Saccharomyces cerevisiae S288C: one gene and its partners. The protein of the gene in region 1 interacts with the protein of each later gene in a biochemical or structural test. Each region holds a gene or a part of one and is shown on either strand. Other genes may lie near its edges.

Region 1 (4,542 bases):
ATAATTCTGTTACAAAAATCGATAAAAGTAATAGTAACGAGTTGGATAACTCTAAAACAGGTGAAAGTACAGTTTTATCAAGTGAACCTCATCCAATGACACAACTGTCGAACTCTAATACGACTTCCTCGAATTTTAGCCATTCTTTGAAGACAAAAAATTCTCACAAACCTAATTCCAAGGGTAACAATGAAAGTAATTCCAAAAATGAGTTGAAAAAGATAAAGAGTTCCATCAATGCTATGAGTGCCGTGGAAAGGTCCAAAAGTTTGCCTTTACCTACATTACTAAAGTCTTTAAGCGGCATAGATAACCCTACTCATGCCACTAACAAGGATAGAAAGCGTTGGAAATTCCAGATGAATAGGTTTAAGAATCATAAAAACAGTGGTTCTGCAGGTACGGATAAATCTCAGCGTTGTGCCATCATGTAAAGAATACTTTACCACTATATATAGATATATATATATACTTGTATTATAATTATAATCATTATTGGTACTATTGCACTTACCAGTTTCTATATTGACATTGAAGGTGATACAGAGAATTCATACATAGTCTAAATATATTTAAAGTATAGGTTGTGTACATAAAAAAATACCGAGGTGATACAATCTACCTACTTTCGGCGAAAAGGCGAAGCAAGGTAAGTTAAAAAAGTTTAATTGTAACATTATAGAAAAAGTTCTTTCGGTTACCCAGTTTTCCATAAAGTTCCCGCTTTAGTTCATATGCTTATTCAAAGCTAATTGAACGTCTTCTGCATTGATGACAACCCCTCTTTCTGAACATTTTGCCTTTGCCATTAGCTCGGAACATAAACCATCGACATCAATATCTGAGTATTTCGGATGTGTTGTTATTCTATCCCAAATTTCCGAACACCTTAGTAAAGAGCCTTCCTTAGATGGAACGACATCATTATCATTATCGTTATCATTGCCATTATTGATTTTGTCAGCATTCTGTAAACTACTGCCATTTTTTTGTGAGATTTCGCTTTCATTTCCTGGTACCGATTGTAGATATTGTTTCGGAAGCTCTGGTTCTTCGTTAATTAACTGGTTCTTGATTAAACTTGACTCATCGTCTGACATATTAGCGGCTTTTTTGTCATCATCGTCATCCTCTAAAAACTCTCCAAATAAATTGTTACCTTCCTTCGATGAATCTCTAAAAAACATGTCGTAGTCAAACTTATTTTGAGATTGAGATTCAGAGAAAGGTTGTAATTGAATATTAGTTGAATTGTCGTCTGGGAAAGCCAGATTTGCGTTGATAAAAGGTATATCCTCTTTGCTGCTTTGCAGTAGGCTGGGATTGGTGTTAGAGGCAGCATTATTGCCGATGCCGGTAGATCCCGGACTAAAAAAATTAGTAACTTGGTTCATATCAAACGGTGACTCGGATATGAATGGGAGTACATCATCGCTATTATTATTGTTCTTTTTGTTCTTATTGCCAGTGCTACCAGTGCTATCAGTGCTACCAGTGCTATTATCATTCACGACGTAATGATTGGCACTCATATCGAAACCAAGTCGGCCAAAACCGGAGAAGGAATTTTCATATTTAGTAGCATCAGTAGCAATGACATTAGCAGGAGTATTATCTGTAATATTAGAATGTGATTCCCAAGTATTTGTTAAAGCAGGAGAATTTGAACTTAGTATAGAAGATGACGCGAAAACTTCTTTATCAAGAGCCGAGATGGGTTTCTTGGGAATGGGACATTGCCTTGTTCCACATACCTGGTTCATTTTCGAACAAAACTCCGAAACTTGTTCATCAAATTGGTTTTCAAAATTAAAGTCATTAGAAAACATATTACTGTCTAAATTCTTAGTTTTACTATTGCTGCCATCATCACCTGACACAAACCTGTTAGTATATATTACATTATCTAACCAATCCATCGAAGTGGAGGAGTTTGGTGTGTTATTAAGAACATCGTTACTATTTGAAAGGGAATCCAAAGTAGCGCTGGAGGAATCTGTAGCGTCACTTAATTTCTTTTGTGTCTGATTTATAGGCATAGGAGCCGAATGACTTGGATCATTTGGTGAAGGTAATTGTTTCCCCACATTTTTACTGTTGTCGTTGTCGTTGTCGTTATCAAGCGGATATTGAAACGTGAAATTCATCTTTTGTTTAACATTTTCTTGTATGTCATCATTGGGTGTGTCAATTGGCTCGCTATTGCTGTGGTTAACGTTATTTTTTGAAAAATGCAAATTAGGATCTCGCCTTGCTAAATATTCCAGCACTTTTGAGTCATTTCTTGTCTCTGGTCTATATTTTTTTAACTCATTCACCAGAGTGATTAACTGGTCCCTCAAAAAAGTAGCTTCCACTTCATTTTGCTGCTGAATACTCTCTAAACTTTGTACCTTCTTCTCCAATTCCTTCATCTTCCTCTCCTTACGTTCCCTAAAAGCTCTTTGAGCGGCCCGATTTTGGGCAGTCCTCTTCTGCTTAGTTTCAGGATCCAAATCTTGCTTTTTGCTAGTTTTGCTACCCTTCTTCTTCGGTTGCTCGCTATCCTCGCCATCACGTGTACCAGTACGTCTATGTTCATTTTCTATTTCATCGTGACGAGATTTTGAACCCTCAAACTCCGCTAATGAACCCGGAGAAACGACATCCAGCGACCTCTTGGCGGTAGACACACTCATGGTTTAAGAAACAACTTTTCCTTCTTTAAACGTTTTGGGTGGCAAAAAACTTCCCTTAAACAAACTAAAAATGGCTCGTGTTCATGCACAAGTCAACCAGGGGCTCAGGAAAAAAAGCTAAACACCAATCCTATATATAACGTAAAGGTACTGTGCTTAATCGGTAAACGGAAGACTATTAAGCAAATGTATCTCTTAAGACCTTACGCATCCATCAGTTGCCACCCTCCTACTCTTCATCGGAGGGTTTCCGGTTCCCATGACAAAGACGGCGCTTTGGCGGGGCCCAAATTGTTACCCGCACCCAGAAAAAGAAAAGAGTAACCTAGGTCAAATCAACCAAACAGCTAGGGCTGGTTACTATTTTTGAAAAGATGCAACAGGGTAAGATCAGCAAAATTTAGGGCCGAACAAAGCCCCGATCTTCGTATATGGTACCTCGTTCCCGTACTTATTTTCAATTTTTGGCGTCGTTTACTGCCGTTTCCGATAAATACAAAAAAGTTTTCGAGAAGCGAGAGTAAGTGAGGAGCAGACAATGTATTATTCACTGTAAACTGCTCCACTTCGTCTCAATGGTACACTTCATTTTTATCGCCTTACGAAGCATGCGTTTTATGCGAAGATTGGTGAGAAACCTCCAATACTTGCTGTTGCCGATAACTTCTTCATTGCTTTTTATATAGTTCGGGTGTTTTCTCCTATCCTCTGCTGCTCTCTTTTTCTTTCCATTCGTCTTTGTAATTTATAAGCTGTTAATTTTCATTCAAGTTTCCCTTATCTGTTTTACTTTCGATTTAAGTTTTACATAATTTAAAAAAACAAGAATAAAATAATAATATAGTAGGCAGCATAAGATGAGTGAAACAGAATTGAGAAAAAGACAGGCCCAATTCACTAGGGAGTTACATGGTGATGATATTGGTAAAAAGACAGGTTTGAGTGCATTGATGTCGAAGAACAACTCTGCCCAAAAGGAAGCCGTTCAGAAGTACTTGAGAAATTGGGATGGTAGAACCGATAAAGATGCCGAAGAACGTCGTCTTGAGGATTATAATGAAGCCACACATTCCTACTATAACGTCGTTACAGATTTCTATGAATATGGTTGGGGTTCCTCTTTCCATTTCAGCAGATTTTATAAAGGTGAGAGTTTCGCTGCCTCGATAGCAAGACATGAACATTATTTAGCTTACAAGGCTGGTATTCAAAGAGGCGATTTAGTTCTCGACGTTGGTTGTGGTGTTGGGGGCCCAGCAAGAGAGATTGCAAGATTTACCGGTTGTAACGTCATCGGTCTAAACAATAACGATTACCAAATTGCCAAGGCAAAATATTACGCTAAAAAATACAATTTGAGTGACCAAATGGACTTTGTAAAGGGTGATTTCATGAAAATGGATTTCGAAGAAAACACTTTCGACAAAGTTTATGCAATTGAGGCCACATGTCACGCTCCAAAATTAGAAGGTGTATACAGCGAAATCTACAAGGTTTTGAAACCGGGTGGTACCTTTGCTGTTTACGAATGGGTAATGACTGATAAATATGACGAAAACAATCCTGAACATAGAAAGATCGCTTATGAAATTGAACTAGGTGATGGTATCCCAAAGATGTTCCATGTCGACGTGGCTAGGAAAGCATTGAAGAACTGTGGTTTCGAAGTCCTCGTTAGCGAAGACCTGGCGGACAATGATGATGAAATCCCTTGGTATTACCCATTAACTGGTGAGTGGAAGTACGTTCAAAACTTAGCTAATTTGGCCACATTTTTCAGAACTTCTTACTTGGGTAGACAATTTACTACAGCAATGGTTACTGTAATGGAAAAATTAGGTCTAGCCCCAGAAGGTTCCAAGGA
Region 2 (2,808 bases), on another chromosome or scaffold:
TCATCTTCCAATATGTCTTGCAGCATTTTGATCATTCACACGTTTTAATGAGCGAAGATGCTGATATTGCAGACCAGATTAACTATTATCTGTTTTATGTAGAAGGTTCCTTGCAACCACCTTTAATGATTGAGTTCATTCTTTCAAAGGTGAAGGATTCTGGTATGCCCTTCCCTATTTCGTACTTGGCAAGAAAAGTGGCAGACAAGATCAGTCAGGCATACTCTAGTGGTGAAGTTAAGAACCAGTTCGACTTTGTGGAGGGTGAAATTTCCAAAAATAACGGCTACCTGGTTGATGGGAAGTTGAGCGGTGCCGATATCTTGATGTCTTTCCCTTTGCAGATGGCGTTTGAAAGAAAGTTTGCCGCACCAGAGGATTATCCTGCCATTTCCAAATGGTTAAAGACCATAACCTCAGAGGAGTCGTATGCTGCTTCTAAGGAAAAGGCGCGTGCTTTAGGTAGCAATTTCTAAACCGTTTTGTTGCGTTCGTACGGCACTAGCAGCCGCGTAATTCGTTCACACACTTCAATACATATGTATGTATACGTATATAGTCTGTTGCGACACATAATAATTGACAGGTTTGACTAGCGAGTATGTATTATCAGGAAATATAAAAGAAAACTAAGCTTTACCTAACTTCAAAAGAAGAAGACCTGCCTATTCCACCTCTTTCAAAAGTTCTTCGATGGTTTCGGACAACGAAGAAGGTTTGGTTAGTGAAGAGTATCTTTCGTACACTTTACCCTTTTTATCGACTAAGAATTTTTCAAAATTCCATTTGATACCTCTCAAGCCCAACATACCGGATTTTTGGCTCTTCAAAAACTTGTAAACAGGGTCCTCATTGCCACCATTAACGTCAATTTTTTTCATAATGGGGAAAGTCACGCCATAGTTCAGTTGGCAGAACTGGGCAATTTCTTCATCAGAGCCAGGTTCTTGGTGGCCAAACTGGTTGCATGGGAACCCGATGATGGTAAATCCTTCGTCCTTATAACGTTTGTACAAGGCCTCTAGTTCTTTGTATTGAGGAGTGAATCCACATTTGGAGGCAACATTAACGATAAGCACCACTTTTCCCTTTAATTGGTCGAAGGGGAATGGTTGGCCTTTCTTGTCAACAGGTGCTAGCTTATAGAATTCTGACATGATAAACTTGAATACTTTACGAGATGACAGCTTGGAAGAGAGAGACGTGGAAAGCTCTGATGCTGTTTTTATTACTATTGCTTTTCCGATATTAAGGGAGCATACTGTTCCTCATGGTTTTTTCCCTCTTTTTTTCACTTTTTGACCTTTTTCGTAAAGTGGCTAAAAACGATAATGCAGAAAAAGAAGAAGGAATACAGGAAATAAGGGCTGTCGCGAACAGCAACAAGAGAAACAACTTATAATCTGTCAAAGAAGGGATATGGGCAAGGTTATTTTGATTACAGGTGCCTCCCGTGGGATTGGCCTGCAATTGGTGAAAACTGTTATCGAAGAGGACGATGAATGCATCGTCTACGGCGTAGCAAGAACGGAAGCTGGTCTGCAGTCTTTGCAAAGAGAATACGGTGCAGACAAATTTGTCTATCGTGTCCTCGACATCACGGACAGGTCTCGAATGGAAGCGTTGGTGGAGGAAATCCGGCAAAAGCATGGAAAACTGGACGGTATTGTCGCAAATGCGGGGATGCTAGAACCGGTGAAGTCCATCTCCCAGTCCAACTCCGAACACGACATCAAGCAGTGGGAACGGCTGTTCGATGTGAACTTTTTCAGCATTGTCTCTTTGGTGGCACTGTGTTTACCCCTCTTGAAGAGCTCGCCATTTGTAGGCAACATTGTCTTCGTCAGCTCTGGAGCCAGTGTGAAACCATATAACGGATGGTCGGCGTACGGCTGCTCGAAAGCCGCATTAAACCACTTTGCCATGGACATTGCCAGTGAAGAGCCCAGTGATAAAGTGCGTGCCGTGTGTATTGCACCGGGCGTCGTTGACACGCAGATGCAGAAAGATATTAGGGAAACATTGGGTCCTCAGGGCATGACACCCAAGGCTCTCGAGAGGTTTACTCAATTGTACAAGACTTCGTCACTGCTGGACCCAAAGGTGCCTGCGGCGGTACTAGCGCAACTCGTCCTGAAAGGTATTCCCGACTCTTTGAACGGTCAATATCTCCGCTACAACGATGAGCGACTGGGGCCGGTGCAGGGCTAGTACTAAACTATATTATGTAAAAGGGTATAGTTATAGTTTTTAGCTACTAAACTTTTATTGGGTTTGCGATGAGCGACAGTTTTGTGCGGCCATTTCTGTGCCAAGAACCGGATTGAATGTATCACCGAAGGAATTCCGCGGTGTTTTCAAAGAAATGAAGAGAAGACAGTATGAACATTAACTTTTGCATATATATACGTAAACGAAAAAGATCAAGTGCAATGGAAGAATATTGTACCTAAAAAAAAGGGTCTAACTACAGCGTGTAACAGGTTAAAAAAACATGGGTAAAGTTATTTTAGTTACAGGTGTTTCCAGAGGTATCGGTAAGTCCATCGTGGATGTTCTTTTCAGTTTGGACAAGGACACGGTTGTTTACGGTGTAGCCAGGTCTGAGGCACCCTTGAAGAAGTTGAAAGAGAAGTATGGCGACAGGTTTTTTTACGTTGTCGGTGATATTACCGAGGATTCCGTGTTGAAGCAGTTGGTTAACGCTGCTGTTAAGGGCCACGGCAAGATCGACTCCTTGGTTGCCAACGCTGGTGTCCTAGAGCCCGTGCAAAATGTCAACGAGATTGATGTCAACGCTTGGAAGAA
Region 3 (2,757 bases), on another chromosome or scaffold:
AGATCACAGAAAGAGCCATGAACAATGAACTTGATTTCAAAGAGTCTTTAAGAGAACGCGTTAAATTATTGCAAGGCCTCCAAGTCGATACACTATATGATGAAATAAAACAAAAGCTAGAGGTCACCAAGGGTGTGCCAGAACTATGCAAGTTCCTTCACAAAAAAAATTGCAAGCTCGCTGTTTTAAGCGGTGGTTTTATTCAGTTTGCCGGTTTTATCAAGGATCAGTTAGGTTTAGATTTTTGTAAGGCAAACTTGTTGGAAGTTGACACTGATGGAAAATTAACCGGTAAAACACTGGGTCCTATCGTAGACGGACAGTGCAAGAGTGAAACCCTTCTGCAACTATGTAATGACTACAATGTTCCAGTTGAAGCAAGTTGTATGGTGGGTGACGGTGGTAACGACCTGCCAGCCATGGCTACCGCCGGGTTTGGGATCGCATGGAACGCCAAGCCAAAGGTGCAGAAAGCTGCACCTTGTAAGTTGAATACCAAGAGCATGACTGACATTTTATACATTCTTGGTTACACCGATGATGAAATATACAATAGACAATGAAGAAAATAATGATAGATAGATGTAATAGAGTTTCTTTTTAAAATTGTTTATTTAAACTGGTAAACATGATGTACTTTACGTAGCGTTAATATACCGGCAACTATACGTTGGAAGCAATAGCTTGCTTGATAGCAGCTGGGTTGGCACCGACGACTCTGGTAACCTCCTTACCGCCCTTGTAGAAGATTAGGGTAGGCATGGAAGAAACTTCAGCTTTTTGAGCAACATCTGAGACTTCATCAACATCCAACTTGTAAAAAGCAGCGTCAGAATATTGTTCTGCAAACTTTTCAATCATTGGTGCAATCATTTTACATGGCCCACACCATGTGGCAAAAAAGTCAACAACGACTAACTTGTCGCCAGATGCTAAAGCACTGTCGTATTCAGAAGCGGATTTTAATTGAGTGACCATTATTGATGTGTTATTTAAAGATATCGTAGACTCTCGTGTATGTGTGCGTGTATAATTCTTGCTAGACAACAAATAAAAACTGGTCCTCGTTATTCTCTTGTCAGCTTTTCATCCCCCGAATGGCTTTCTTATATACTGATATCCCTCTTTCGGCTGGCTGGAAACTGAACGCGCTTAGTAAGAAAAGAGCCACCTTGTAGGGAGCATCCTTTACTAAGAGTATAAACAATTACACATATACTTTGATGATTACTTAATATTCACTGGCACTCAAGTTATGCTGATCTTGGAGCGATCTTGAAGCCGAGTATGTCATTCTTACCGGGCTCAACAAGACTTTCTTCACTGACTCTCACGCCGCCAACGGTTTCAATGCTTGCAATGGTGACCTCGCCACCCATGATATACCTGGCAACTTTGCCAACAGGGGTTCCTCGCTTGACCAAAAAACAATCTCTAAATACGTTGGTTCCGTTGCCACCCGTAAAAGTCTGGATGTTCTTCACAGTGTACACCGGTATTAGACCAAGGATGTCCGTTGCTGCTTGCAGAACCTGAACAACACCCGTAGATCCGAATCTATACAGGACCAAATCTCTGATATTTTCAATTCTGTTAAGGATCTTGTCGTCCAGTGGCTTTAGTTTGTCTGGCTCGTCCTCAAATGTGTCAACAAATTCCGTGCCCTCCTCGTATAATATAAAACCTTGCTTTTTCAATTTCCTCAAAAAAACTTCCGTCACTGCACTGGTCAGTACAGCTTTGGTGTCAGGATACTTTAGCATGATTTTAGAAACATTTTTATCGGCGTCAGGGTGGTCAATCTTGTTGAGTGCCAACACAGTTGGAAATTTCTCCATCATAAAGGACTTGACCACTCGAGTGATCCATTCGTCATCCCATTTTTCCAAAGGTGGTAGTCCCTTCAACCTGTCCAGGGCTTTTTGGATCATGGGCGCATGTGAACCGTACCCACCGAATTGCGCTTGAAGTGTGTCCACTATGCTAGATTTCGTTGCTGTATGTTTACGCACAATAGACCCCCATCTTTTCTTCAGGTTCCCCTCAACCCAAAGCCTGATTTCGTCTTGCAGCCATTCTATATCGTTCAATGGATCATATCCTCTTGTGTTCTTCCCCTCTGCATCTGTGGTTCCACTAACGTCCACCACATGAATAAGAGCATCTGCGTGTCTTAAATCATCCAAGAATTTATTTCCAAGCCCTCTGCCGGAATGCGCTCCAGGCACAAGCCCTGCCACATCCAACAGTTTGATGGGGATATGCCTCTTACCCTTGCTACACCACCCGTAGTTAGGTTTACAAAGATCTTCCTTGCCAAATCTGGAGCAAGCACACTCAACTTGCAAGTAGCCGGTTGCCTGATTTGGCTCGATCGTGGTAAAGGGAAATGCTCCTACCGCCGCACCTGCGTCCGTCAAAGAATTTAATGTGGTGGATTTCCCTGAAGATGGCTTACCCACAATACCAATCAATGGATCCCTGGGCATACTGGCTCTATTTCCGTTTTATTCTTACAGACAGCTTATACTACAAGTTAGTTGGACAAAAGCTAAAAGACGGAAAACGAAAACGCAAAATGAAAATAAAACCAACTCTCATTACAATTCATCCTAGAACACTTACACATCTGTTTTGCACTGCATAGCATTACATTTCTTGCATATCTATCTATTCGAGAAAAAAAAAAAAAGGCATCGAGTGAATTTTTCACCTTGATAAAAAAGCCCTTACTAACCCTACAATAAATTGTGCCGA
Region 4 (4,649 bases), on another chromosome or scaffold:
CTGTAACTACCACCATCTCTCCGAAGAAGAAGTCGCATCCTATGAAAGGTAAAAATTTGATTGGTAAATATGACGTTGAAGATCCGTTCATTGATGATTCGGAGTTATTGTGGGAGGAACAGCGTGCTGCCACCAAGGACGGTTTTTTTGTTTACTTTGGTCCATTAATCGAAAAAGGTCACTATGCAAGTTTGGAGCGTGCAAATGGTACCATGAAAAGAGGTGGTGTTAAAAATAAATAAGCATTGTGTCAGAGATTTTCCAAAATCCCTGAACGACATAAAAAATGAAATAAAGTGTGCCTATATCTGAAAGTATATAGTCAGTTTATATGAAGATTTTTCCGAGCGAATGCTTTTCTATCCATGTATCTATGTCCGATAATATGGTGAAAGAAAAAATAGATAATTTCACCTTAGAGAATCTATAAACTTGGCTATAAAACCAGAAACGAGTATGGCATGTTCAATATCTTGGTGGAAATGAAATAGATAAGAACTTCATTTTATACCAGTAAAATAGTCATTTAGAGATTCGTTTTTATCCACAATTTCCTTATACTTCGGAAGTTTATCAGGTTCGACTGACTTCAAATTAGAATCAATCTTCGAACAAACAATCTTCAGTAGATCTTCATCCCATGTTTTTTTTAGCACAATGAAAATATTCAAGTAAGTTAGCAGTAATAATATATCACTCTTCTTGGCATCTGCCGTAAATGAATCTTGGATAGTCTGCAGACAACAGTCATGAACAGCTTTCATTTTGGAAGAATCTAGTTGGATATAATGTCTGATGTTACTTTGCTGAGCTTTGTTACTATCATTGACCTTCAGTTTGGATAATTTTTCGACAATCAAATCCGTCTCAGAATCGTTATCCTTGGTGGAGATGCGTCGCCTTGAAAGGTCTTTAAAAACACATAATACGGACGTCTTAGCCAATGGAAGGGGAGATGTCTTAAGCACATCTAAGATAAACTCAAATGCAACTTTTTCAGGTATTAAACATAGTAATCTGGTGAGAAGAGTGAAAGTTATCATTCTTAACTGCTGATTGACCTGAATACAGTTCTTTTGAAGTAGAACATGCAATAATGTTTTTGTAACAAACACTGAAAGATTCTTCAATTCTTTTTTTACATCCTCCAAGGGCTCGGTTGTAATAGCATACCATAGCCAGTAGCGACTAACTGATTCAACTGCTACATTATAGTAAACTTTAGAATATAATGATGGAGTTGTAAATCTCAAGTAGAGATAAATGGCATCCGTTATATTCATTTCCTTTACTAAATGTTGATTGGTTTCCAAATAGTGGATACCAGAAAATAATATTACACCATTATAGTCCAAACCAACATTTTTTTCTTTAGCGGCCTTTTGTACTTCGAATGTATAAGCCAATTTATATACCATTCTTTCCAAAACCAACTTTGCTTCATCATTAACAGCGGAAATCTCCTGGGGTACAGACTTATAAATAATCCTACATTCTTTTATCACATTCTGAAATTCTCCCTCTATATCAACATCAAGCGAGAACGCCATTTGGTAATACCTGCAAAATAGCTCAAGATATTCGGTGTAATATGCAGATAATTCAAACTTCTGTTGATTTAGTGCACAATAGTATTTCACGTCGGCATTGGTGGTGACAGTTTTTATGGGTGTCGAAATACCAAAAGTACAAAGCCTACGCAATAGTCTAACCTGTAATTCACTTTCTTCCTCCACAACTTTATCAAACATCTCTCGAGTAAAATCTTCGTTCAATTGTATATCTTTTGGTGGATCAGGGGGAATATAGTTCCTGCAGAATGTGTACACCCTACGAAGAAGGAAAAGGGCATCTTCAAAAGTGTCCGCATGACTATACACAAATTTCTCAATTGTTGACACAGCAGCTCCCAGATATTTCGAAGGAAACAGAGTAGAAATCCTTTTCAGACTCGCCCCTATGAATTCAAATAAAATGTAGGATTTCAACTTCAAGAAAAATTCATTTGAACTCTTGCTTTCACCGTAGGATGGAAAATCTTTTCGATTAGAGGAATTTTCGATTACTCCTTCAGGAGGTAACGTATTGGCCTTTTTATCAACAAAGTCTTCCTTATTCTGTTGATCACTCTTGGAAAAATCTTTTGAACAAAGGGATGAAAGCAACTCCAACCCAGTAATTAAACATTTTTTGGGCTCGCCTTGGATTGAGATGGCATAGAAACACTTCATTACACCTTGGACAATCATATTCGTACCTAGTCTTCCATTTACATCGACATTATCCTTTGACAAGAACTTCAATAATCCCTTAGGCAGATCCCAACCGATTTCACCAGTAGTACTCGGATTATCCTCTAACAATGTATTCAAAGTTTCAATGAATCTCGTCTTTTCTTCATAGCTCCCCTCTTGGTTAACTTGCTCGCCATATATATCAATCAATGTTACCAACTCAAGAAGATCCTCCTTCTGAGTTTTGAACGCATCAGTAACCTCAAAAAGTATGTCATCAATTGGTTCCATTAGTGTCTGAGTATCGTATTGAATGTCTAGGGTGATTTTCTTTTTCAGTGTTTATTTGTTAATAATGTTCACCGGCAATTAGTCTTTATTTTTTTCCTTTACATTGTCAAATTTAAAGAATCGTACTTATGAAGGATGCCCGCTTAGTGTTTGACAGAAAGCTACTTGAGCTGAAGAAATAAACGTACATCCCTAACTGTATATTCTACAGTAGAGTGAACCAATGACAGTATGAGTAGGATCCTAGAGAGCGAAAATGAAACAGAAAGTGACGAAAGCTCCATCATATCCACAAATAATGGAACGGCAATGGAAAGATCCAGAAATAATCAAGAATTAAGATCATCTCCTCATACCGTTCAAAATAGATTGGAACTTTTTAGCAGGAGATTGTCTCAGCTTGGTTTGGCGAGTGACATTTCTGTCGACCAGCAAGTTGAAGATTCCTCTAGTGGCACTTATGAACAGGAAGAGACAATCAAAACGAATGCACAAACAAGCAAACAAAAAAGCCATAAAGACGAAAAAAACATACAAAAGATACAGATAAAATTTCAGCCCATTGGTTCTATTGGGCAGTTAAAACCATCTGTTTGTAAAATATCAATGTCACAGTCTTTTGCAATGGTTATTTTATTTCTTAAGAGACGGCTGAAAATGGACCATGTTTATTGTTATATAAATAATTCGTTTGCGCCAAGTCCGCAGCAAAATATTGGTGAACTTTGGATGCAATTCAAGACTAATGATGAGCTTATTGTAAGTTATTGTGCATCCGTAGCGTTTGGTTAAATACCCGGGCGCTGGAATGGTCTAAGAAGAAAACCTACAGTCGATCAAAAATCCCGTACGATATTAAATAGAGTAGTTAACGTACTTGAGCGTTATAAACTCACATTTTCACTCAAGAAGAAAATGGAGAATGGAGACATGGTAAGTGAAAGCATTAAGGAAGAAACACAGTTAGCACGTATTTCATCGAAAGTGTTTGATTACTTTCTATTTGGCATTTAAATATACATGGGAACATAACTAGATAAAATATACGCCATATATAGTACAGCTAGTATTTTCAGATGTCATAAAATATAATTAACGAGTAAAAATTACTTTTTTTGGGATGGGGGTAGGGTTTCTTCTTCTAGGACAACCAACAAATCTGATGCGTCAACACTTTCACCATCCTTAATGAAAACGTCTTTAACTTGACCATCTGCTGGTGAAGAGACAACCATTTCCATTTTCATGGCACTCAAAACAGCAATCGATTCGCCCTTTTTCACCAAAGACCCTTTATGTACTTTAACTTCTATGATAACACCAGCCATTGGTGCACCGATTTGGTGAGTATCGTGGACATCAGCCTTTGGTTTAGCAACAGATTGTATGTTTTGTGACTTGTCTGCAACTCTGATCTTTCTTAATTCACCGTTCAATTCAAAATACACTTCTCTTTGCCCAGTTTTCTTATTTAAGTCACCAACAGCTTGCAATTTGATAATCAAAGTCTTACCTTGTTCGATGGTGACTTCGATTTCTTCATCAGGTTCTGCTGGTGCTAGGAAATTTTTGGTTGGTAGAACTGATAAATCACCGTATGTTTCTCTGATCTTTTGGAAATCTTCATAGACCCTTGGATACATATTGTAAGAAGCAACATCGCATTCATCAATATCACCGAATCTGTTCTGCAAGTCTTCTCTAATTTTTTCGAGATCAAATGGTTCTAATTCTAAACCTGGACGGCACGTCAACTTTCTTCTCTTGTTTCTCAATACATCAGATCTTAATGGTTCTGGGAACCCACCGTATGGTTGACCAATTAAACCTTCAAAAAAGTCCATAACAGAGTCAGGAAAGTCCAAAGAATTAGCTAAACGTCTAATATCGTCGGAAGTCAGTTTGTTAGAAACCATGAATTGAGCTAAATCACCGACAACCTTAGAAGTTGGGGTAACTTTAACAATATCTCCCAGTAGGTAATTGGCTTCTCTGTAAGCTCTTTTAGTTTCAGCCCATTGTTCACCAAGACCCAGTTGTTGAGCTTGGAATAACAAGTTAGTCAATTGACCACCTGGGATTTCATGTTGGTAAACTTCTGGATCTGGTCCCTTCAAGTCGGCC

The links.
Region 2: the proteins of YAP1 (region 1) and HYR1 form a complex in vitro, tested with the Saccharomyces cerevisiae proteins (2 studies listed by BioGRID).
Region 3: of the proteins of YAP1 (region 1) and TRX2, one has a biochemical effect on the other in vitro, tested with the Saccharomyces cerevisiae proteins (one study listed by BioGRID).
Region 4: the proteins of YAP1 (region 1) and YBP1 form a complex in vitro, tested with the Saccharomyces cerevisiae proteins (2 studies listed by BioGRID).

The regions. Positions count from the first base shown.
Region 1 is NC_001145.3:251,984-256,525, reverse strand, and holds YAP1 (DNA-binding transcription factor YAP1), read right to left. Parts: upstream 2,679-4,542; coding exon 726-2,678; downstream 1-725. Other genes in the region: GIS4 (Gis4p), read left to right, coding at 1-434; MIN4 (Min4p), read left to right, coding at 3,254-3,364; ERG6 (sterol 24-C-methyltransferase), read left to right, coding at 3,536-4,542. UniProt on the Saccharomyces cerevisiae protein: Transcription activator involved in oxidative stress response and redox homeostasis.
Region 2 is NC_001141.2:421,477-424,284, reverse strand, and holds HYR1 (peroxiredoxin HYR1), read right to left. Parts: upstream 1,158-2,808; coding exon 666-1,157; downstream 1-665. Other genes in the region: GTT1 (bifunctional glutathione transferase/peroxidase), read left to right, coding at 1-476; sepiapterin reductase family protein IRC24, read left to right, coding at 1,420-2,211; NRE1 (sepiapterin reductase family protein), read left to right, coding at 2,495-2,808. UniProt on the Saccharomyces cerevisiae protein: Involved in oxidative stress response and redox homeostasis. Functions as a sensor and transducer of hydroperoxide stress.
Region 3 is NC_001139.9:912,250-915,006, forward strand, and holds TRX2 (thioredoxin TRX2), read right to left. Parts: upstream 979-2,757; coding exon 664-978; downstream 1-663. Other genes in the region: SER2 (phosphoserine phosphatase), read left to right, coding at 1-563; YGR210C (uncharacterized protein), read right to left, coding at 1,254-2,489. UniProt on the Saccharomyces cerevisiae protein: Participates as a hydrogen donor in redox reactions through the reversible oxidation of its active center dithiol to a disulfide, accompanied by the transfer of 2 electrons and 2 protons.
Region 4 is NC_001134.8:655,076-659,724, forward strand, and holds YBP1 (Ybp1p), read right to left. Parts: upstream 2,526-4,649; coding exon 501-2,525; downstream 1-500. Other genes in the region: HPC2 (Hpc2p), read left to right, coding at 1-242; ATG12 (Atg12p), read left to right, coding at 2,757-3,317; PYC2 (pyruvate carboxylase 2), read right to left, coding at 3,632-4,649. UniProt on the Saccharomyces cerevisiae protein: Involved in oxidative stress response and redox homeostasis. Required for hydrogen peroxide-induced oxidation and nuclear localization (activation) of YAP1. Functions probably in concert with HYP1/GPX3, the actual YAP1 modifying enzyme.